Macaca mulatta: one gene and its partners. The protein of the gene in region 2 interacts with the protein of the main gene of each other region in a pairwise test. Links are inferred from orthologs where the notes say so. Each region holds a gene or a part of one and is shown on either strand. Other genes may lie near its edges.

Region 1 (8,094 bases), on a different chromosome or scaffold from region 2:
TTTAGTATAAAGCATATAATTCTTGGGAATTTTTCATTTAACTCAATTTTCGTGGAAGACTATCACAAAACACATTTCACTGGAAGTGTTAATCACTCAAAATGCAGAAAATACTGAAGAATAATAACAACATCATTAAGAGTTTAACTGGTACTAATCTACATTTTTGTCCTGAAACTTTGGGAGTTTTCTAGGGGACAAAGACCCAGAAACTATTTTTTAAAATAAAAAACTTTGAAACAGAATAGTGGAAAGACATTACACAAAAATAAAAATAAGGCTTCATTCAATTCTTCTATGAACAAATAGGTTCATGTAGAATAAAGAGAAGATAAAGCATCTCAAATTACTACTGGAAAAAATCCTTTGTAACTATCCTAGGAAAATAATTCACCACCATCCCTCCCTGCAGAAAAACTAAAAATCCATGAAGATAGCCGATAAGGATGCAAAGCTAAAAATGTAACAACACAATAATTCTATCTAAAATAAGACTAAAACATTTCTTTATTCTATAGTTTAAGAAAAATTAAACTAAAGCCTTATAAGCAACAGAAAAGTTGTTTTTTAGTGTCCTCAATCTTAGAAGGTGGAACTGAAATACTGCTGTTATGAGATTCTTTAGTATCTATAGGACACTAAAGAGAAGAAATATATCAACTTGAAATTAAAGCATAAATTGGCTATTTACTACTTCCCAGATTACCTTAAAACAATGCAATTACTATGTGCGTGTCACAGGCTCATACGAATATTTATTGCCAATATTTGACAGACTTCTGGTTCTTTCAATACGCAAGTTTTTATATTATTTTATTTTCACGAAACAGGATGACACTGAACGTTCTTCAAAATTGTGGCATTCTGTAGCCTACTTGTTTAAAAGAATTGACAGTTTAGAGATTTTTATTCTTTAAATACTACATACTGTTTTTCCAAATGTATCATTAACATCCCTTAGAACACAAAGTAATTAGAGTTTGCCAAAGCAGGGGTTCTATCATCCTTCCTTCAAGTCTAATATGGTACTCAGCACAAAAAAGAAACTCAATTTAAGACAGTCTACTTGGAGTTTGAAAACCTTCCATTCTTTAAGAAACACATACTATGTACGGGGCACTGTGGTAAGTACTAGGGATAAATGTTGAAGCAGAAGAGACTCAATCCCTGCCCGCCTCACAGTGTTTTTAATCCAGTGAATAGGATACGAATTTAAGAAAGAATTGGATAACAGTATTTCTATAAACGTGATGAACACTATGAAGGAAAAATAGGGGTGCCATGAAGTATGTGAAGACCTGATCTACTACTATGACAGATGAGGAAACATTCCTGAGGAACTTATGATCGAGCTGAAGGAAAAGTGTTGTTCAACAGAGAGAACAAAGGGGGAGGAAAAATGATTTCCGGCAGGGAACAGAATGTATGCAAAGATCTTGAGGTAGAAGAAAACGTGTATCCAAAGAAGGTTGACCAATATAATTCATAAGAACTGGCCGGGCACAGTGGCTTATGCCTGTAATCCCAGCACTTTGGGAGGCCGAGGCGGGAGGATCATGAGGTCAGGAAATTGAGACCATCCTGGCTAACACAGTGAAACCCTGTCTCTACTAACAATACAAAAAATTAGCCAGGCGTGGTGGCGGACACCTTTGTCCAAGCTACACGGGAGGCTGAGGCAGGAGAATGGCGTGAACCCGGGAGTCAGAGCTTGCAGTGAGCCGAGATCACACCACTGCACTCCAGCCTAGGTGACAGAGCAAAACAAAAAAAAAAAAGAACTGTGGTTGCAAGGACACCAGGTAATAAGTTACTGCAGTCGTCCAGGTAAGAGATGATGGTAGCTGAGATTAGGAGGACAGTAATGAAGATAACAGGAAAGAAGGCCGATTGAAGAGATATTTAGGAAGAAATCAGTGTTACACTGCAGCCATGGCTTATTTAGTAGAGTTTTAAGGATGACAGACCTTGAGATTTTTTCACCTGTGATACCAAATAGTAAATAAGCTAGAATCTGAGCTTATCTGATGCTCCCCAAAGAGCCAGATAGCTATTGCAGCCACATTCTCTAACAGCAGTAACATCTTAGCAATGTTGATTTTTGGAAGTGTGCCAGAAGGCTGTGACCAAGACCACAGTAAAATCAAGCATTTATTTTAAAAATAATTATATATTATAGGTCCCACTTCCAACTATCAGAACCATCCCAAATGATAAAATTACTGGTATTTGCAAGGAACATATCTGTAATATCACATTATATCATTTATTTTCTCTCCTTTGTACTTCTGTGAAAATAAGATTTTAAGGCATGGGGGAAAGGGGAATAGGAATTTATAGTATTCGGAGTTAACTTTCAGCATAAATTTATAAAGTAACTTTTTATTTTTTTATTTTTTGGGATGGAGTCTCACTCTGTGGCCCAGGCTGGAGTGCAATGGCGCAATCTCGGCTCACTGAAAGCTCCGCCTCCTAAATTCCAGGAATTATCCTGCCTCAGCCTCCCAAGTAGCAGAGATTACAGGCACACGCTACTATGCCCGGCTAATTTTTGTATTTTGAGTAGAGACAGGGTTTCATCATGTTGGCCAGGCTGGTCTCAAACTCCTGACCTCAGGTGATCCACCTACCTCAGCCTCCCAAAGTGCTGGAATTACAGGCGTGAGCCACTGCACCTGGCCTAAAGTAACATTTTTGTCAGGCATACCATATAATACCTGAGAATATCAGGGGTAAAAGAGTCAATCACCATTATATCTTAAAGATGCTATGATGTCAAAGAAACAAATGTCATTTTATAACATACATCAATGTTCACGATGTATAGTAATAAAAGCTACTTCCACACTAGTAGCTTTTTGATCAGGTAAAAATAAGACACATATACTTATGAACTCTATTCCTTTCCTTGTTTCAGATGATAAACACATGGATATTTCTGTAAGTCTTCTTTCTGCTTTATGTAACCAGCATAATAAAATCTCTATTAAAATCCAACAGTAAACTTAAAATTAAGAAGAAGCCTACAGAGCCCTCTTTGAAATGGATCAACACTATTGTCCAAATACCCCAGTATTGGAACTTCTACCTCAGCTCTCCTTAATTCCACGAAGCAGGCATTTTAAATAAGAGGCTAAGGAGAAATAATTTCTAGTTTTTCATTTTAACATACTAGTTCTCTCTCATAGGCCCCAGCCCAAACCCCACACATTTGTGGATCTTTTGATAATACATTCTAAAATCTATTTATTTCTCTCTCTCTCTTTCTTGCTACTTATATTCCCATATAAAAGTACCTTCTTTTGTTTTAGGTGGTCTAACGTTCACATATTCTCCTTTGGGCACTATAAGAACACTATGGCATGCTTGCAGTTTTACAAATTTTCCGACATGCTATGCTAAAACACAGTAATTAGCACTGTGGTCCCACACATAATATTAGAATCCTAACAGAAATGCTAGCATGAAAGAGAAACATCACTTAGCCCAAACCCCAAGCTGAGCAAAGTATAAGTCAACAGATGACTAAGAGTTTCTTATTAATGACAGGTAACGTAATTGATAAAAACCTAGGAATGTGCATCTTATTTATGCCTCTACAATCCTTGAGTTCCTAAAAATGTCACATCTGCAATGATGGGAGACATATTAAATTACTAACATAGTAACCAATCTCTAAAACTGTCAATAAATCAGAGTCACAGAAGTTCAGGATAATGAGGGACCTTGGTGAGAATCTAATACATCTCATTTTACAGATGAATATAGTAAGGGATGGGAAATGTACTGAAATTATATACCTAATTTCTAGAAAATAGGAAAGGCTTAAATACTTGCAGCATGACAGAACTCAGGTTTGGTTTCCTATGTGTACTCTTACTATGTCTCCAAGTTGAAAAAAAGAGTTTTTTTAATCTATGTGGATTGAAACATACATAAATTCCTGAATAGGTCTTAATTCTTGATAGCTTAAACACTGAAACTGTAAGGGCAAGCAAATGTACATTTTTTTAAATGCTGTGTATCATACCACATATTTTCATCTCCACCATACTACAACAAAATCTCTAGACCTACACATAACACATATAGTACATCAAGCTTATGGTTAATTATTTTTATAACCTAAGAAATTAAAAACTATATAGTAGTCTTAATGAAAAGTAGCTAAAAAAGGGAACATGCAGCTCTACGGAGAAGTCAAAGGAGAAAAGTGAATCCTAGTTTTTCCTCGGAGATGTCTGAAATACAGAGTGGGATGATCCAACCTCATGAGTTCCAATTGTTATCTATAGAAGCCTCAGGCTTTCTGCATCAAGAGCCCCATTCTGTCCCAATCTGCTGTTCCAAATGACTAACCAACCACCTGACTGAAGCTCCCCAAAGCCTTCAGGGAAATTTGGTTACCCAGGGATTGCTCTGTCCTCCCTAAAATGAATGTTTATTATACTCTCTAGACAAAGCTCTGGGAAACAGAAATAAAGGTCTCATTTAATTCCCCTTATCAATGGAAAAGGCAGCCATCTGTTAATCTTCTGTTAAGAAAGGCCTTTTGAAAACTTCTTATGAGATGAATCCTAGGAATTTACTGGCTCCCCAGAATAAAAACACTGAAGAGACAGCCAGATACTACTCAGAGTTTTCAAAAATGGAAGTCAGCTACATCTTAGTACGTCTATTTTTTTCTCTTTTTGAGACAAAATTTCACTATGTCATCCAGGTTGGTCTTGAACTCCTAAGCTCAAGCAATCCTCCCACCTCAGCCTCCCAAAGTGCTGGAATTACAGGTGAGAGCCACTAGGCCCGTCCTTTCCAAGTACATCTAGACAAGTATATTCTAAAAGATCTATTCTGCTTGAAAGATAAGCAGATTTTTTTTTTCATTTTTGCTTTTAGAGCCCACCAACCAATCGGATCTTATTTAAAGAGGCAAAACTTTCATAGTACGGTCTTCCCTTTCCTCCTTAAACAAATAACCATACCTGCTCACTACCAATTCTACCTAAATATTTTTATTCCTTTAACAAAGCCCTTGATTCTGCTTTATATCCTGCCAGACCTATTTCTGATTTTTTTTTAACCTTCTTGGACTGTCCTAAACTTGACCAGATTATTAAAAGCCACCCCACAATTACTTTTAGCAGGTGGCTGCATGCATGGACACATGCTGCCAAGTTTCTCAAGTTTCTCAACTTACTGTCCTCTCAGTCATAGCCATCTTAATAATCCCAGCAAGAACGTCTTTGGTTGTCTTTCCAGATTCTATTCCTTCCCTTCCATGCAAAACCAGGTTATGATTTCTAGACTTTATTAAAGGGCCAAATCCCCACCCCAGGGTAGTAGTAAAGAAACCCATCAAGTGCTGCTCCTCCAGACTTGGGATTACAGGAGAAATGTGCTCCTTCCCTCCAGTTCCCTCTTCTAAGCGTTCCCAGCTTGCTACCTGTTGGCAGTGCTGGTGTTGCTGCTCCCGCTGCTGTGTTTCTGTGCCCGGCTCAACCTCCGTGGGGGCTTTGAATGCTGCAGTCGGGGGCTTGGCATGGACGGGAATGAAGAGGCGTAGCCATGTTCACACTCTGAAGAGAGCAAGAAAAAAAGGTATAGTAAGAAGAATATAGTACCCAAATCCATTGAACCACAAATCCAAGGTCTTTGCAGTAACAGGTTTTTGAAAGCAAAAAAAAAGGTACAATGTTTCCACTCTTTTTGGTTAGAAGATTAATGTCCCTCGCCTGGACATCAATCCTGTGACACCCCATCAGCTGGAAGGTGTTTTGATACCTCCTCTAAACCAAATAATTTATCCCCCTTTTCCAAAATCCTTCTCTCCCCAAAATTTTTTTTTGAGATTTCAGATGCTTTAGAACATTTTTTGACCAGTTACCATTCGCTTCATTGATTTTACTTGACTCAAAAATTCCCCTTTACTTTCAACTCTCTCTGTTCTAAAGAGTCTCTTTTAAGCCCAATATTTTCGCGTACTTCGAACAAGTCTTACAGAGACATTTTCTCTCTTGACAACAATCTCCGAGTTCCTGCTCTTCCTGCCCCATCTCCACAGTCCCTTGGGCTGCCACCGCCAAAGGGGCCCTATCTCATCACCCCGCAGGTATTCAGAGGCCTCTTCCGCACGCTGCCAGTCCTCTGCCCACTCTCCACCGGCTTTCCCCAGACACCCCCAGCATCCGCGTTCCTCCTTCTTCTTAACTCCCAGCACCCTCTCCCACTCCAGGCCCTGCTGGTTTCTCCATGGTCACCCTCTCTCCAGTCCCGGACCGTCCTCTCTCCAACTCCCCTCCGCCCGTCTCCTTCCCGCTCCCCGCACACCCACAGCCCCACCCTCCGGGCGCACCCTCGCACCTCCCCCCGCACCTGCACGATCTCTCACACACGCCTCCACTCACGATCTCAGCACACACACTTCCCCACGCGCACCTCACGCGCGCGAGCTTCCCACGCACGCGCGCCCCTCCCACACGCGCACGCCCCTTCCCGCACACGTCCCTTCCCGCACACGCCCCTTCCCCCGCACCATCCCTCCCACGCGCGCACCCTCACGCGCGACCCTCCCCGCACACGCCCCTCCTCGCACACGCGCGAGCCCCTCTCCTCAGATGCCCCTCCCCACTTGTGCGCACCCCTGCCCTCACACACACGCATGGCCCTCCCCTCACACGCCCCTCCCTACACACGCACGCCCCTCCCCTCACACCCGCGCACCCCTCCCCTCACATGCGCGCGCCCCTCGCCTCACATGCTCGACCCCCCATGCTCGCACCCCTCCCCTCACATGCACGCACCCCTCCGCTCACACATGCGCGCCCCTCCCCTCACACCCGCGCGCCCCTCCCCTCACACGTCCCTCCCCTCACACATGCGCACGCCCCTCCCCTCATGCGCGCTTCCCTCACACGTCCCTCCCCTCACACGCGCGCACCCCTCGCTCACACGCGCGCTCCCCTACCCGCAGACGCCCCTCCCCTCCCCTCACACGCCCTTTCCCTCACATGAGCGCACCCCTCTCCTCACATACGCACGCCCCTCCCCTCACATGCGCGTTCCCCTCCCCTCATACGCCACTCCCCTCACGCGCGCACCCCTCCCTCACACGCCCCTCCCCTCACACGCGCGCTCCCTTCCCCACATGCCCCTCCCATCACACGCGCGCTCCCCTCCCTCACACGCCCCCCCTCACACGCGCGCCCCTCCCGTCACGCGTGCACCCCTCTCTCACACGCCCCTCCCCTCACACGCGGGCACCCCTCCCTCACACGCCCCACCCCTCACACGCCCGCTCCCCTCCCCACACGCCCCACCCCTCACACGCGCGCTCCCCTACGCTTACACGCACGCACACCCTCTCCCTCACATGCGCGCACCTCACACGCGTGCCCTCCCTCACCGGCCGCACCGCACTCCCCATAAAGATTAGTAGCGCTCGGGCTCACGCAGCGGCGCCCAGCCATTACCTCGCTCCCGGCGCTCCAAAAACTCGGCAGCCTCCAGCAGACGCTGCACGTTGATCATCCTTACCCGCTCCATGGGCACCGCGGGTGGCGATCGGCGCCTCTCTGCACTCCCTTCCCGGGCCGACAGGAGGCGCCGCAGGCGGCTACGGCGAGGCGCCGTCCCGGAACATGTGCGGCAGGCGGGCGGGCCAGCCCGGCCGCGGCTCGGCGCGCTCTCCGCTGCCTCAGCCGCCCCAGCCGCGCCAGCCGCGCCCGCCGTGCCACCGGCAGCCCGCGCGTGGTTTGTTTACCTCTCCGCGCGAGCACGGGGGAGGGGCGGGAGCAGAGCCGCGGCCCGCCCCCTCCCGCCCCTGCCTCTGCCCCCTGGGAAATGTAGTCCCGCCCCCGCCCGCGGCTGCCGGGAATCGTAGTGCGCACGCCGTTTCAGAGCGCCTGCGTTCCGCACGATTCGCAAAGTTCGTCGGAAGGTGTAGTCCCGCTGGGTTTCCTTTCCTGTCTCTAGGGAAGCCTAAGTAGTTGTGGGACTTTGCTTCTGGGAGGGAAGGATTTTTTTTTCCCCCTCCAGACACGATGTGGAATGGGAAGGATTTGAGCAAGCTGGGAGTCTACTCCCGGGGAAACTTGT
Region 2 (7,179 bases):
TCTTTCTTTCTTTCTTTCTTTCTTTCTTTCTTTCTTTCTTTCCTTCCTTCCTTCCTTCCTTCCTTCCTTCCTTCCTTCCTTCCTTCTTTTTTCTTTCCTCTCCTTCTTTCCCTCCCTCCTTCCCTTCCTTCCTTCCTTCCTTCCTTCCTGCCTGCCTTCCTTCCTGCCTTCCTTTTTTTCTGTCTTGCTCTGTCACCCAGGCTGGAGTGCAGAGGCATGATCTCTGCTCACTGCAACCTCCGCCTCCTGGGTTCAAGCGATTCTCCTGCCTCAGCCTCCCGAGTAGCTGGGATTACAGGTGCCCGCCATCATGCCCAGCTATTTTTTGTATTTTTGGTAGAGACAGGGTTTCACCATGTTGGCCAGGATGGTCTCGATCTCTTGACCTTTTGATCCATCTTCCTTGGCCTCCCAAAGTGCTGGGATTACAGGTGTCAGTCACTGCGCCTGGCCGACAGTTTTTTTTTTTTTTTTTTTTCTTTTAGCATTTGAAAACTGTCGTCCTACTTCATATTGGCTTCCATGGTTTATGGTGACAGACCTGCCATCAATTAAATTGTTTTCTTCTATTGGTAAGGTGTCATTTCTCTCTCACTGCTTTCATAATTTGTTTTGTCTTTAGTATTCAAAAGTTTGAATATGATATTTCCTGGTGTAGATTTCTTTGGGTTTATAATTTTTGGGGTTTGCTTGGTTTCTGGAATCTGTAGGTTTTTGTCTTTTGCCATATTTGTAAAATTTTCAGTGTTTATTCCTTCAAATGTTTTTGGCCTCACTTTTTCTCCTCCCTTACAGAACTCCGTTGACATGAATGTTAGATCATTTGATATAGCCATAAAGTTCCCTGAGACTCTATCTTTTTTTTTTTTTTTTTTTTTTTGAGACGGAGTCTCGCTCTGTCTCCCCGGCTGGAGTGCAGTGGCTGGATCTCAGCTCACTGCAAGCTCCGCCTACTGGGTTCACACCATTCTCCTGCCTCAGCCTCCCAAGTAGCTGGGACTACAGGCACCCGCCACCTCGCCCGGCTAGTTTTTTGTATTTTTTAGTAGAGATGGGGTTTCACCGTGTTAGCCAGGATGGTCTCGATCTCCTGACCTCGTGATCCGCCCACCTCGGCTCCCAAAGTGCTGGGATTACAGGCGTGAGCCACCGCGCCTGGCCGACTCTATCTTTTTAACACTATTTTTTTTCCTGTTTTTCAGGTCAGATGATGTCTATTATTGTATCATCAAATTCCCTGATGTTTTCCTGTCTGGCCTGTCTGTTCTGCTGTTAAGCCCATCTGCACTGAGGTTTCTATTTTGGTTCTATGGTATGTTTCAGTTCTGAAATTTCCACTGGAGTCTTTCCATCTTCTTCTTCACTGAGACTTTTCAGTTTTTGCATTTGTTATAAGAGTTTATTGAAGCATTGCTTATTGAAGCATTTTTGTGATGACTGTTTAAAAATGCTTGTCAATAAGTAAAAGAGTATAACTGGATGTTTGTAACACCAAAGATGCATGCTTGAGGGGATGGACACCCCATTCTTCATGATGTGATTATTACGCATTGCATGCCTGTATCAAATCATCTCATGTACCCCATAAATATATACATCTATGTACCCAGAAAAATAAAAAATAAAAAGTTAAAAACCCTTGTCCGTTCATTCTAACATCTTTTTCCTCTTGATGTTGGAATTTGTTGATCATCTTTTTTCATGTAAGTTGAGATTTTATGATCCTTGGTATGAAGAGTAATTGTTGATTGAAACCTGGACATTGGGGCATTATGTTATGAGATTCAGGATATTATTTAATCTTCTGTTCTGGCAGGTCTCCTCTGACACTGTTTTGGTAGGGGACGGGGGACACTGCTTCATTCCTACCAGGTGGGATTAGAAATAGAGGTTCTCTCCACTTTGCCCCTATTGACACCCAAGGGGAGAGCCCCCCTCATCACGGCTGGGAGGGAGGATTTTAGACTCTTATCTGGCCTCTGCTGATACCACCCGGGCCAGGAGGGGCAAGAATATCTTGTTATTGCTCCCATGCAGCTGACACTGCATGGGGGGTGGCCTTGGTACTGCTGGAGGAGGGAGAGAGTCCTGACTGTCCAGTAGGCCTCCTGTGACACTAAACCCCAGAGGAGAAAAGAAGAGCCTCACTGCAGCCTGTAGAGTTAAGTCCAGGCTTCCCGTGTGGTCTCCACTGACACCATGGTGGTGGGGCGGGGGTGCTTCCATGTCTCTTAGCAGGAATGAAAGTCCTGGATCTCTCACTTACCTTTCCCTGACTCCACCCCAGTGGGGAAGTTTGAGTGCCTTGTTACAGCCTGTGAAGGATAGAAGACTGGACTCCCTCCCTGGCCTTTTCTGGTGTGGATATGGGTGGGCAAAATGGTATTTTCGGTGGTGTTTGGCTGAGTTGAGTGGTTGTTGTCTAAAGGTTTTCTGCCTTTCTAGGCTGCCTCTTTTTTGGTTCTTTAAGCAGAGCAAGCTCTTCTGGTTTGTTTGTTTTGTCTGCACCTATTGGTGTTTCTGGTTGTTGGTTTGTCCAGCTCCCACTCTGGGATTTATGAGATAAAGAGTTAATCCAGGGAGCCCACCACAGTGTCACTCCTGGGGTCTCAATATCTTTAGGTGGTTTGGCTTCTTCTTCTACCTTTCAGAGTCTTCTTATGTTTATTCGATATGTAATTTCCAGGGTTTTTAGGAGGAGGAATATGGAAATAGAATCATTCTGGAAGTTCTCTACCTTGTCTCTTAAATGTATGAGAATAATTATTCTTATAACCTAAATGTCCAATAACAGATCAATGCACCTTATGGTACATTATGCAACCATTAAAATGATGGCTACAGGCTGGGTGCGGTGGCTCATGCCTGTAATCCCAGCACTTTGGGAGGCTGAGGTGGGCGGATCACAAGGACCTTGATCACAAGGTCAGGAGATCGAGACCATCCTGGCTAACATGGTGAAACCCTGTCTCTACTAAAAAAAAAAAAAAAAAAAAATACGAAAAATTAGCCTGGCGTGGTGGCATGCACCTGCAGTCCCAGCTACTCGGGAGGCTGAGGCAGGAGAACCGCTTGAACCTGGGAGGTGGAGGTTGCAGTGAGCCGAGATAGCGCGACTGCACTCCAGCCTGGGCGACACAGGGAGACTTTGCCTCAAATTAAAAAACAAAACAAACAAACAAACAAAAAATGGCTACAATACAATCTTATGTTTTGATTAGAATTAAAAATGCTTAGATGACATAAATGAAAGAAAGATTACACAAGTGTGTGCATATGTTAGTATGATTATAGTTGTGTGGAAAAATCTATCATAAGAAAGAAAACCAGAAGAAAGTACCCCAAAATATTGACTATGGCTGTTTGCAAGATGAAATCATAAGTGACCTTTTCCCTTTTAATCAGCCAAATTACAGAAAAGAGAATCTAGTACTTTTATAATAAAAAAATACAATTTATTATTCTATTCCTAATTTTTTTCTCAGAAAGATACACACAACTGTTTTCTAAGATATATGACATTTTGCATGGGTTCATTAATGTGTTTGTATTTGAGGAGTTAAAAAATATTTTCAACCTGGGTTTTTGTATGTTGAAACTATGGTTATGGGTTTAGATGATTCTCTTGCCATAAAATGAATATTCTATCAACACTAATCAGCCATAGAGCTATATTTACCATGTGAAAGGAGTAAAACATGTTTTATTTGGAGATGAGCAAGAACACTTTATGGGCTCCCAGCATACCACAAATAAGCCGGAAGGAGAGGAAATAGTAAAGCAGAAAGACTGAGGATACCTGGAGGGCAGTTCCAGGATATGAGCGTCCCCTGGATTTGTGATTCCTGTTTGGATGCCCCTGTTGAAGCCCCATCTCCTTTCTAGGATGCTGCCGGCTTTGATTCCTCTACCTGCTGTCCTTAACATTCACAAACAGCAGTTTTCAACCGTGCAGATGACATAGGCTGAGCATGGCTCACAAGTGTTGCTCGAGGTGCATGTGGTCGAACATGGGTTACAGGAAAGCCTGGGGAAAAATTGATGTTAAACCAAGCTTAGCAAGGGAATCTTGATAAAATGGAAACTCAGACAAACCATGTCAAAGTTTGTCCACAAATTATGTTCTGAAAAAAACTCTGCACAATAGCATTGACTGAAGCCTGTTTCTTCTCCGCACCCAGAATTGCCACTTCATGTTCACTGTAGCAGTGGCAGTTGAATAGAATTTTATATTTTTTCTTGATTTTGCAAATGTTATCTCAGGCCTATTCCTGATTTTCCTTTAGTGGAAAACAGGAACAAAGGGAGATGCCAGTATGAAATGTTACACTAATAATTAATCTGCCTTTATAATATTTTAAAAATATCTCTAGTGTCATGTGCTTAACCTCAGCCACTGTTCAGCCCTCTTTTAAGAAGATCCCTGAGCACATTGGGGAGGTTTGAACTTGTCCAGACCTTGGGGAAACAGGATTCTTTTACATCAGCCTCTTTGTGACTCTGGGGGATATCATGAGTAACTGTGGAACTTGCCTGCTGTCCTCACTGTCCAGCAGGCCCCGATACGTGTTGATCTCGCCCTCCAGCCGGGCCTTCACGTCCAGGAGCACCTGGTACTCCTGGTTCTGTCGCTCCAGGTCGCAGCGGATCTCGGCCAGCTGGTTCTCCACGTTATCGATCAGGCACTGAATCTGGGCCAGCTGGGAGCTGTACTGGGCCTCGGTTTCTGCCACGGTGCATTCCAGAGATTCTGTCTGCAGGAGGAAACATTGTCCAAAGGACCATGAAGTGCAGTCTCTCGGGCCAGAGTGCCTATTTTCAAATCCTTGCTTACCCTTTTCTAGCTATGTGACCACTGGCAAATTATTTAGCTTCTGTGAGTCTCAGTTTTATTCTCTATATGCAAAGTATTTGTCTCATTAGAGGGTTGTGAAGATTAAGAGTTAATATGTGTAAAGCATTTAGAACAGTGCCAGCCGTACTGCCACTGTTCTACATGTCAGCTATCACTACCACCACTATGACTACAGCAATACATGACTTATTTGTGAAGCTTAAGGACTATCAACAGCATATGAGAGGAAAGATTGAGTTTGGGCTCTTGGCAGGGAGGGGTAGTATAGTGCTGTTAGGAGAAGAGGCTCTGGATACCAGAGGCTGGGAAGGGCATGTGTGTGGTAAGGGGATGAAGAGAGGTTGGTTAATGGGTGCAAACATACAGCTAGACAGAAGGAATACGTTTTCATGTTGGACAGCAGAGAAGGGTGACTACAGTTAACAACAATACACTGTGCATTTCAAAATAGCTAGAAGAGTGGGCTTGAAATGCTCCCAACACGTAGAAATGATAAATACTTGAGGTGATGGATGCTGTAAATATCCTGACTTGATCGTTACACATTCTATGCATGTTACAAAATAGCACATCTACTCCATAAATATTTACAAATATTGTATATCAATAAAAATAAATTTAAAAAGAGAGAGAGAAGAGGCTCTGGGATTCAACTGGCTGAACTCAGCTTCCAAGTTTGCCTCTTAGAATTGCATCCTTTGCAGGTTACTTAATCTGAGTCTCAGTTTTCCTTATCTGTGTCATGGGATAAAGGTATCTATCCCGTGAAGTTACTGTGAGGCTTAAATGAGCATAGTGCCTCTCACTGGATGAATGCTCAGCTATTGTTCTCCTAGGTATTCTCCGCAGGATCTAATGACATGCACACAGTGGTGCTTGACCAGAACTGGTTCATGTCATCTTGGACGCATGGTGTTCTTGTTGCTTGAGTGGGGTGGGGTACAGTGAAGGATCAGGTTGAAGTGTAGATCCTGTAGGGAAACTGTAGGATGAAATGTTTGAAAATGATTCTTTGTTTTAGATATAACAGTGAGCCTGGAAAACTGGCCTGAATCAAATGAGAATTAAAACCTGCTGGAATGCTTAAGTGACCATGGCCTGGAGGTTTCTCTCGCTCTGCTTCTCCCTCCCTGTCTCTGGAGGCTGCTGCAGCATCAGACTCAAGCCCAGGAGTGAAGGTAAGGCATCTTAGAGGGACAACACAAGCTGTGGACCTGTCACTTCTGCTTCTATTAATACTGGGTAAACGGCAGTACTTGGGAAAGGCAAGGAAATGTGATCCCTGGATATGGAAGAGGGCTTAACATCTCAGAGCCTGACTTATCAGTGACATAACGGACACTGCCTTTGCCTCACGCACCAGGCTTTGCTGTGCTTGGAGCTCAATTTCCAGAGCATTGGCTGTGCGTTTCAATTCCAAGATCTCCGTCTGGCAGCCCTGCAGCTGCTCCGCACTGGACAGTTGCTGCTGATTCAGCTCTTCTGTCTGAAACACAGGCACCATTAGAGAATTCACAAAAGGCGGAAGTCTGTAACCTTGCCATTTTTTCGATCTGGGTGCTGACCTGAACAGCAAACCATTCTTCGGCTTCTCTGCGATTGTTGGCAAGCACCGTTTCATACTGACAGCGCATCTCATCCAGGACCCTGTTGAGGTCAAGGGTGGGGGCAGTGTCCAGCTCCACACTGAGGCGGTCGCCAAGCTGTCCACGAAGCAAGTTGACTTCCTGAAAGTGGGATGGCATAAAGATGTCACAGAATGATGGGGAAAAATCCATTTGACATCCAATGGCATTCTACTTCTGTTTTGTGGAGTAGTAGGTAAAAGTGTGAGATTTTGATTCAGGTTGTCTGGGCTGAATCTCTTTTCACCACTTAGAAGGGCCTCAATTTCTTCGTCTGTAAAATGGACATAATAATCGGACATTTTTCCAGAAGGTTATTGTGAGATCTAGAAGAGTTAATCTACACATAATTAACTTATAAAAGTTAATTATGACACATAGTAAGGTGTCAATAAATGTTAGCTATGATTGTCATCAACAAATATTCAAAGAGCAAACGTACTTTGTTACATCATTCAGCTTTTCATTTTCTAGCTTTATCACTGTATTAATCACTTTATATTTTATGACTTTTAAAAGTTTATAAATGCGGAATATTTAAAAACACTGGTCCAGATAGTGCATGAGTCCTTATCCCTTTTTTGAAACGGACTTCATAGTCTGTTTCTCAGACTGATTTTCATACCCTGTGGATTGGAGCTAGGGGTGGCATAAAGCCTCCAAAGGAAGCCATTTGTGAAGTTACTCACCTCCTCCACA
Region 3 (8,194 bases), on a different chromosome or scaffold from region 2:
TATCAAAGAAACCACGCTAAACCAAAAAAACAATCCTTGCTTTGGAGGCACTTTATGAAGTAGGATTAAATGAAAGTGTTGGAATACAGATGAGAAGGAACTTTAAACACACATTCTCCCACCGAAGACCATATCAGCAATGCTTCTAATTACCAATATATCAAAACCCTCTCCACTCCCTGTAACTGGCAGGAGACAATCTGAGGCAAACTCAGTGTACCAAGAAGACCTATGAAAACTTAACCTAGATGGCACAAGGAATGAAAGGGAGTGAATTCCCTGGCTTTTGGCCTTCTAACACATGACCAGTATGCTTCAGACCATGTTTAAAACTGTTTTTGTAATATATTTTTGCCACCTAAGTTTTTTTTTTTTCCCCCTTCATAAAAGTGATATTTGAGTAGCGAGGGGAGAAATGGCTCAAAACTTGTTACAATAGGTTCCAAAGAAAGAGAATAAGGTATAGAGAAAGGGAAGATAGGAAGAAAGAAAAAGAGGTCAAGTATGTAGTAGGTGGTACAGGGAAGTCAGCGGACACTAAGACACAAGTATCTTCTGCCTGGAAATGCTGCAGATTTTGTGGTTAGCCTCAAGATATTAGGTGGGAATAAACATGTCATTGAGAGTAAATGTAAACACAAAAATGAAAAATAAAAATTGTACAATTCACTTTATTCTTAACTAAAATGTTTTTGATGGTTATATATGGCAGGCCTAGGAGGCAATGTTAGACAGTAGATAGCTGCCTTTGGGGGAGGGTGACCTGTGTTCTGTCCCCTGCTCTACGTTGTAAAGAGGTGTCATTTTGGACAAGTCACAGCAGCTCATGTTGAATCTTGGTTTGATTCTTTATCTAAAGGTAGAAAACTGAACCAGCTTTTTGATGCTGATGAGGAGGAGTTTTGAGAGGAACAAGGATATACACTATCTCTGTTGAATATCTGGGCCATAATGTATCAGCCTAGGACACTGAGAGAGATTTATTCAAGAGTTGAGGAGAGCTAGGGGCCAAATAAAGATTTTTAAGTTTTGAGATAGGGTTTTATTCTGTTGCTATGACTGGAGTGCAGTGGCAAGATCACAACTCACTGCAATCTCTGCCTCCCAGGTTCAGGCCATCCTCCCACCCCAGCCTCCTGAGTATCTGGGACTACAGCACATGCCGCCACACCCAGCTAATTTTTAAATTTTTTGCAGAGACAGGGTCTTGCCATGTTGTCCAGGCTGGTCTCAAATACCTGGGCTCAAGTGATCTGCCGGCTTTGGCCTCCCAAAGTGTTAGGATTACAGGTGTGAGCCACTGCACTCAGCCTCAAATACAGACTTTTAGGAGGTCAGATTTATACACCTGTCCATCATGGTCATGTTGGTTAACCTCCATCATGAACCTAGGCTTTTTAAACTTCAGGAAAACTACCCCAAAGCAGTTACTGGCCTAAATAAAGCAGGTCACCCTATATGCCTCAGTTTAAAACAGAACATCACAAATTAACCTGAAGCAGGAAAAGGAGGGGACATCAAACCTGACACCAATCCTGATGAGAGCAAGTGCTCTCATTTGACAGCCAGAGTTAAACTAGATGTATGCAATTCCTACAATGAACATGATCAATGCCAATCAGATAGTCAGAGTAACCATCATTTAATTGGAAATAACATATACAACAGAGCTGACCTGAGGCGTTGCTATAGATAATTCATAACGGCAGTAAATTCAAAAGTCATTTACTATGTTTTTAGCTTTGTCATTAACACACCCTGTGTGGATATCCCCTGTTCTACATCTAGATGACTTCCTTCTGGCTTTCCTCAAGGCTCCCTTAACTTTGAGGAGACGATAAGGGATGGGATCCCTGCCTGTTGAACCAGAGGAAGCTGAGGAGCACCAGGTTTCCACTGAAGACTAAATCATGATCCAAAGAAGGAATCCCAGAAGCCATTCTTGCGTGAGCATGGCTTAACGTCTGTCTCCCACTGTGAGCCCTGGCCTTGAGAGCAAGGGTCTCCTTAGTCATTTTTATATTCCCAGTGCCTACCACTTTGTCAAGCCCTTGGTAGAAAAGGTGTTCAATAAATGCATGTTGAGTTTTATTACGCTTTCTATTTTTCCTCCCCCAACTTGTACATATTACAGAAGCACTGAAAATTCAGAAATCAGCAGGTGTCAGGGCTCCGGGGTAATAAACCATTCACAGGGATAGCTATAGGAATTTGGCATTAGCATTGATTCCAATCTCTTGGGGGTAATCAGGTGGCATAATCATGCCCTGCTTTACTGTGTAGCATAAGGTCAGTGGAGAAAAACATCAAGAAGGGAGGAGGACAAGGGATGGAGTTCAATACAGAAATATCTACCGAGCGTCAATTATGTGTCCCACACTATTCAAGGTACTGGGCAGAGAAAGATTAAAAAAAGCAGAAGCTCCGACCTTGAGGAACTTAACAGGTAGTTAAGAAATAGCAGGATTTTTAGCAATACTAGGAATTCACAGCAACAGCCCAGAATCCCGATGTAATATATACGATCAAAATGTGAGGTCCCTATCAAGAGAATTAAGAAAATCAAGGGGAAGAACTCATCAATACTTCACCTCAAAGTTGGCATATAGCATTTGTTTAGGTACGCTTTCTTAATTTTGCGAACAAAATATTCAGACCTAAGTGATTATCCACAAAAGATCGGATTACTAGTTTCTAACACAGAAGTACTCAAAGGTATTCTGAACCCCAACCTACTGCAATATGTATCACATTTGGCCAAAAGGTAGTTGTTCTCAAAGTGAAGAACCCAGATCTGCAGCATCAGTACCTGAGCCTTGTTAGAAGTACAAATTCTCAAGCCCTAGCACAGACCTATTACCAGAAACTCTAGGGCTGGGTCCCAGCAATATGTGTTTAACAAGCCCTTCAGGCGCTTATAGTAAGTTTGAGAACCACCACCTAGCAAATGAAGTGAATCTGGCGTTCATGCAGAAAGCCATTGCTGGCCAAATTAAAGGGTTTGCTGGTGAGAGAACAGGAAAAGCAAGGGGTCTAGAACTGTTTCACTTTTTAAATCTGTGCCAAATTTACTGGGGAAAAAAATGTAAACCTTTAACTTACCTCATCTGTACAATTTGCAATGGCTGAGTCCCTCACATTGTAGTAAACCTTGTTGTACCCTTGGAATGATTGTCTACTGCAATATAGTATATACACAGAGTACAAAAAGGGTATAGCTGGAGGAGAAAGGGTGAAAGATTATGAATCCCAGGTGTCTGGTCCCAGGAGGAATAATTCCTGTCCTCTCTCCAACCCTGCCCACCCTCTTATGCTAGATAGTAACAGCAAAAAGTTATCCAAGACTGCTCGCATTCACACGCTTCCCACCAACAAACCTCCCATGGCTATCCCACAACCTTTCTGAAGTAGCTTCCTGGATCAAGCCCCACCGGGCAGCTTGGAAGAGAAGCTGGGAGGGATGAGGGGCTCCACTAGCATTCCTTGTGACTTCTGAGTGTAGCTGCCCTGGGTGTCACCTGCAGAGTGTGGATAGAGAAAAAGCAACAGTTCTAAGCCCAGTCTCTAAGTGAGAGCCTGGGATGTGGCACTGCTCCCCAGGACCAAGGTTGTCTAAGAAAGGCTGGGTCTAAGAGTCTCCCTTTGGGGAGGTCAGTACAGATCCCAAGGCAGACAGGATTATCAAAGGGCCTAGATGAGAACATTCATTGTTTAGAAAAATAAAAATTAGACTGACACCTTTTTGAAGGCACGCAGCCTATCCATGGCACACAAACTAACAAACTTTTAGTCAAGACACTCAAGAAGTAGGTATACCCCTGCTAAAAGTAACGCTGGTGCTGAGAAGAGGTGCCAAAACTGGCTGTTAGGAGTGGGAGGAGAGGAAAGTTGCAAGAGGAGACAGCAGTTACTGGCTTGAGGGGAAGCTCAGGGTCTGTCACAGTGGCAGCTGAAAAGCCACTGGCCAAATGGACGCCAAGGACTACTATCATCACAGGTGATAAGATCATGGTTGAATGTATCTGAGTGTGTGCTGGGGGCTGAGAGGGGCTTAGTGGTGTAAGGAGATGGGGCTCGCCGGGGCAAGGAGCGCGCGGAGACGATCTTAAGCAATATGACCAGGGGTAAGAAAAGGCTGCGGAAAATAAAGGGGCCTAGACCACTCTTCCCCCGGTTCCGGAGGGACAGTTGGCGCGGAAGCGTTAGGAGGTACGAGGTACGGACTAACTACATTTCTGCAGGCCCCAGGAGGGGGCGGAGGGCGGTGGCTGGAAAGGAAAGGAAGCCAGGAGCGCCATCCGTGTCCTCGGAGACACTGGCTCCGGCCACCAGGAAACACAGAGACCACAACGTCTCGGCCCCCTCAGTACACCGCCGCCACCCCTTCCCCAGGACACGGCGATTTCCCCAAGCTCTGGGGGGCGGGGTCTCCGGTCCCTCCCCCTCCTCCCCGCCCTGCCCGGCTCTGCCCGATCTGGTCCGGCCCGGTCCAGCCCGGCCCGGCCCAGCCCACTCAGGACTCACGGCTCCGACAGCTCCAGCGGCTCCTCCCCTGCCCCGGCTTCTCTCCCACCCACTCCCGACCGAAATAGCGCCGCCGGATCCGAGCCGCGCGGGGCCTAGCGGGTCGGAACACGTGGGGCCTTTGCGTCCGGAACCGGAAGCGATCGCTCGCCCCGCCTTCTTGCCGCGCTGGAGCCTTTCTAGGCTGTGGGAGGTTTGGTCCTCTCTATGCGCCCTCCGCGGGCTGCGGTTTCGTACTCCCCAAGGACCCAGTGCGAAGAAGCCTCGGACCCCACAGCTTCCGTCCGCGGCCCCCAACTCCACTCTGCAGCGAATAAATTAACATCTTGGGCCTTTCATTTACACGCATACCTTCTGCAAGGGTTTTCTTTTTTCTTTTCTGTTTTTAATCTTTTGTGTGTTTGTTTTCATTTGGATACCTCTACGTGTTTTTCTTGATATTTTTTTTTCTTTGCATTGTCCGCTGCAGCATGGTAGAAAAGGGCAGCGTTAGGTTTGAATACCGGCTCTTGCATTCACCATCAGCAGCAGGGCCTCGGCCGAATCACTCCATCTTTGAACCCTATTGTGCATCATAGAAAATGGGCATAATAATACCGTTTACTCTGAGGACTAAATGATACATTGCCCATGAACTGAATGGAACATCAGAAGCTCAGAAAGAGAATAGTTATGGTATCACTGTTCTTTCTTTCCCTTTGAGTGTTGCTTCGTATTTCTTTACTTTCAGGCTGTCTTACCTGATCTCACTTGTTCGTTTTTGTCTTTTGGGGACCTTTCTGCCCATACCTGACATTTTCCTTTGCTCTCGTCCCTTTTACCCTGTAAGTCACCACTCTCCACGTGCCATGTGCCACCTCGTTTTCATGGGACACGTTGCTGGGATCTGTTTTCTGGGTTTGAACCAAAGGATTAGTTACTTTTGGTGAAGTGGGAGTGTATTAGCGAAATAGAACTAATAGGTGTGAACCCAGAAGGCAGGACAACTCCAAGCGGGGAGGGGGGCTTCCAGATCATAGGTAGATAGGAGACAAATAGTTGCATTCTTTTGAGTTTCTGATTAGCCCTTCCAAAGGAGGCTGTCAGATATGCATTTATCTCAATGAGCAGAGGGGTGACTTTGAATAGAAGGGGAAGCAGGTTTGCCCTAGGCAGTTCCCAGCTTGAATTTTCCCTTTAGTTTAGTGATTTTGGGGGCCCAAGATGTTTTCCTTTCACACAGGGTATGTATAAACATATAAAAGGAGATTTATTATAAGGAATTGGCTCACATGATTATGGTCGTTGAAAGGTCCCGACATCTGCTAACTGCAAGCTGGAGAACCAAGGAAGCTGGTGGTATAATTCAGTCTGAAGCTGAAGGCCTGAGAACCGGAAAGAGATTGAGGTGCTGGTGTCTGAAGGCCAGAAAGCAGGAGGAGATGATATCCCAGCTCAAGAAGAGAGAGGTGAATTTACTCTTCCTCTGCCTTTTTATTCTGTTTGGGCCCTCAATGGATTGGATGGTGCCTACGCATATTGGTGAGAGTGATTTTCTTAGTCTACTGATTCAAATGTAATCTCTCTTTTTTTTTTAGACAGTCTTGTGCAACCTCCGCCTCCCAGTTCTCCTGCCTCAGCCTCCCTAATAGCTGGGATTACAAGGCATGCGCCATCACGCCCGGCAATTTTTTTTTTTTTTTTTTTTTTTTTGTATTTTTAGTGGAGACCGGGTTTCACCATATTGGCCAGAAACACCCTCACAGACACACCTACTAATAATGTTTTACCTGTTATCTGGGCATCCCTTAGCTAGTCAAGTTGACACATAAAATTACCCAATACAAAGAGAAATATACATTTCATGAAAGCCTACTGGGTACCAAATGTTTTTCTCTGTAAATCTCATTGAATATTTAAAAATATTAGTATTAAGTGCATAAATAATACATAAACATGTTCTTCTAAACATTTGCTGCATTACAGTGTTAAAGAAAAAATTATTCAGTGATACTTGTTAAAGCATGGTAAGGGAGACCTTATTCAGGAGCAGGAAAGGTAAACCACTGCAATGAAGTCTTGCTGTAGGGACGAGAGATTGGGCTCAACTCTAAATACAGAATGGGCAAGTGGGAATTTATAGTCAAGGAAATTTTTTTGGAGTTTGGGATGCCAATGGATTGAAAATTACTAAGGGGAACCATCAGGCATAAGGGGGATTCTGGCTAAGTCAACCTAATGGGATTCTTGCTGAAGACAGGTCAGGGTGATCAGATATCACCTGTGGGATGGTGGAGGATGAGGACCCTGACCAGGTATTAAAGATGGTCAGATATCAAGGATGGGGGAGTTCCTGCTAAAGGACTTAGAGTTCTTTGCTAACATTAGATCTTACAAGGAAGTACACCAATAGCCCTAGGAGGAGTTTCAGAAGCCTGACAAGTTTGGCGAAGAAAAGAGATTTTGTGAATGGATAACCCTAATGACTTTTTTTTTTTTTTTGAGATGGAGTCTTGCTCTGCCTCCAGGCTGGAGTGCAGTGGCACCATCTCGGCTCACTGCAACCTCACCCTCCCGGGTTCAAGTGATTCTCCTGCCTCAGCCTCCTGAGTAGTTGGGACTACGGGCATGCACCACCAAGCCCAGCTAATTTTTGTATTTTTAGTAGAGACAGGTTTCACAATGTTGGCTAGGATGGTCTCAATCTCTTGACCTCATGATCCGGTGGCCTCAGCCTCTCAAAGTGCTGGGATTACAGGCGTGAGCCACCGCGCCCGGCCACTAATGACATTTTTACCAACCCTGGCTTCCTCCTCTCTCTCCAGAAGTTAGCTGTTCTTATGACCCGAGTGTGTTTATCTTCCAGATCTTTTTCTTTATTTTCATGTGCTGTGTACATATGTATCCACAGAAAGTAAATAGTATTATTTTCTGTGTACATATGTGTATGCCCGTGTGTTCATGTTGAATTCTTCAATTTGTTTTCTCTTAGCAGTGGGCCTTGGAGATCTGTTGATAGCAGTAAATAAAAATCTCCCTTATTCCTTCTACTTTCTGCATAACATTCCATAGTGTAAATAGCAATTTGCCTATTGAAAACATATGTTTTTATAATTGTTGGGGTTACAAACAATGCTATAATGATCACCCTCTTTGTGCATACGTGCACAAAGACGGACACTGAGAAAGAGTATTGCTGGGTTAAAGGTTGTACACATTTAATGAATACTGTCAAGTTTTCCTCCCAAATGAATGCACCTGTTTACACTCTTAACAGCAGCGTATGAGATTTTTCCCCCCATATCCATGCCCTTACATCATGTTGCCAAATTGTAAATCTCAGACAGTTTAATGGGCAAACACAATATCTAATTGTTTTACTTTGCCTTTCCATCATTAATGGTGAGACTGAACTTTCTTCCATACATTTGTTGGTAATTTGTAGTTTTCCTATGAGTTTTATTTTTCTATTGGACTTTTTGTTTTTTTAAATTGGTTGTTAGATGTTCTCTATGTATCCTAGATCCTAATCATTTTACATATATGTTGCAAGAGATATATCAATTTTATGTGTCAACTTGACTAAATTCATGAAAACGTACTGTGTACAAGATATTTTTCTCTATAATCTCCTTGAATATTTTAAAATATGAATATTAATGTTTTCCTTACCTTTATAGATTATTGTTTA

Evidence for each region.
Region 1: the proteins of KRT40 (region 2) and MXI1 interact in binary tests that used the Homo sapiens proteins (3 or more experiments, as listed by UniProt). The two-hybrid records come from large-scale screens. The link is inferred for Macaca mulatta from reciprocal best matches to the Homo sapiens genes KRT40 and MXI1.
Region 3: the proteins of KRT40 (region 2) and ZNF202 interact in binary tests that used the Homo sapiens proteins (3 or more experiments, as listed by UniProt). The two-hybrid records come from large-scale screens. The link is inferred for Macaca mulatta from reciprocal best matches to the Homo sapiens genes KRT40 and ZNF202.

The regions. Positions count from the first base shown.
Region 1 is NC_133414.1:122,396,370-122,404,463, reverse strand, and holds part of MXI1 (max-interacting protein 1), read right to left. Parts: intron 7,758-8,094; exon of another isoform or gene 7,543-7,757; coding exon of another isoform or gene 7,470-7,542; intron 7,072-7,469; exon of another isoform or gene 6,949-7,071; intron 6,863-6,948; exon of another isoform or gene 6,817-6,862; coding exon of another isoform or gene 6,801-6,816; intron 6,680-6,800; exon of another isoform or gene 6,661-6,679; coding exon of another isoform or gene 6,639-6,660; intron 6,466-6,638; exon of another isoform or gene 5,983-6,465; intron 5,577-5,982; coding exon 5,444-5,576; intron 1-5,443. UniProt on the Homo sapiens protein: Transcriptional repressor. MXI1 binds with MAX to form a sequence-specific DNA-binding protein complex which recognizes the core sequence 5'-CAC[GA]TG-3'. MXI1 thus antagonizes MYC transcriptional activity by competing for MAX.
Region 2 is NC_133421.1:65,357,620-65,364,798, forward strand, and holds the end of KRT40 (keratin, type I cytoskeletal 40), read right to left. Parts: intron 6,583-7,179; coding exon 6,421-6,582; intron 6,342-6,420; coding exon 6,216-6,341; intron 4,755-6,215; coding exon 4,534-4,754; intron 4,028-4,533; coding exon 3,928-4,027; 3' UTR 3,083-3,927; downstream 1-3,082. UniProt on the Homo sapiens protein: May play a role in late hair differentiation.
Region 3 is NC_133419.1:124,354,351-124,362,544, forward strand, and holds the start of ZNF202 (zinc finger protein 202), read right to left. Parts: upstream 4,668-8,194; 5' UTR 4,525-4,667; intron 3,519-4,524; exon of another isoform or gene 3,378-3,518; intron 3,235-3,377; exon of another isoform or gene 3,103-3,234; intron 1-3,102. UniProt on the Homo sapiens protein: Transcriptional repressor that binds to elements found predominantly in genes that participate in lipid metabolism.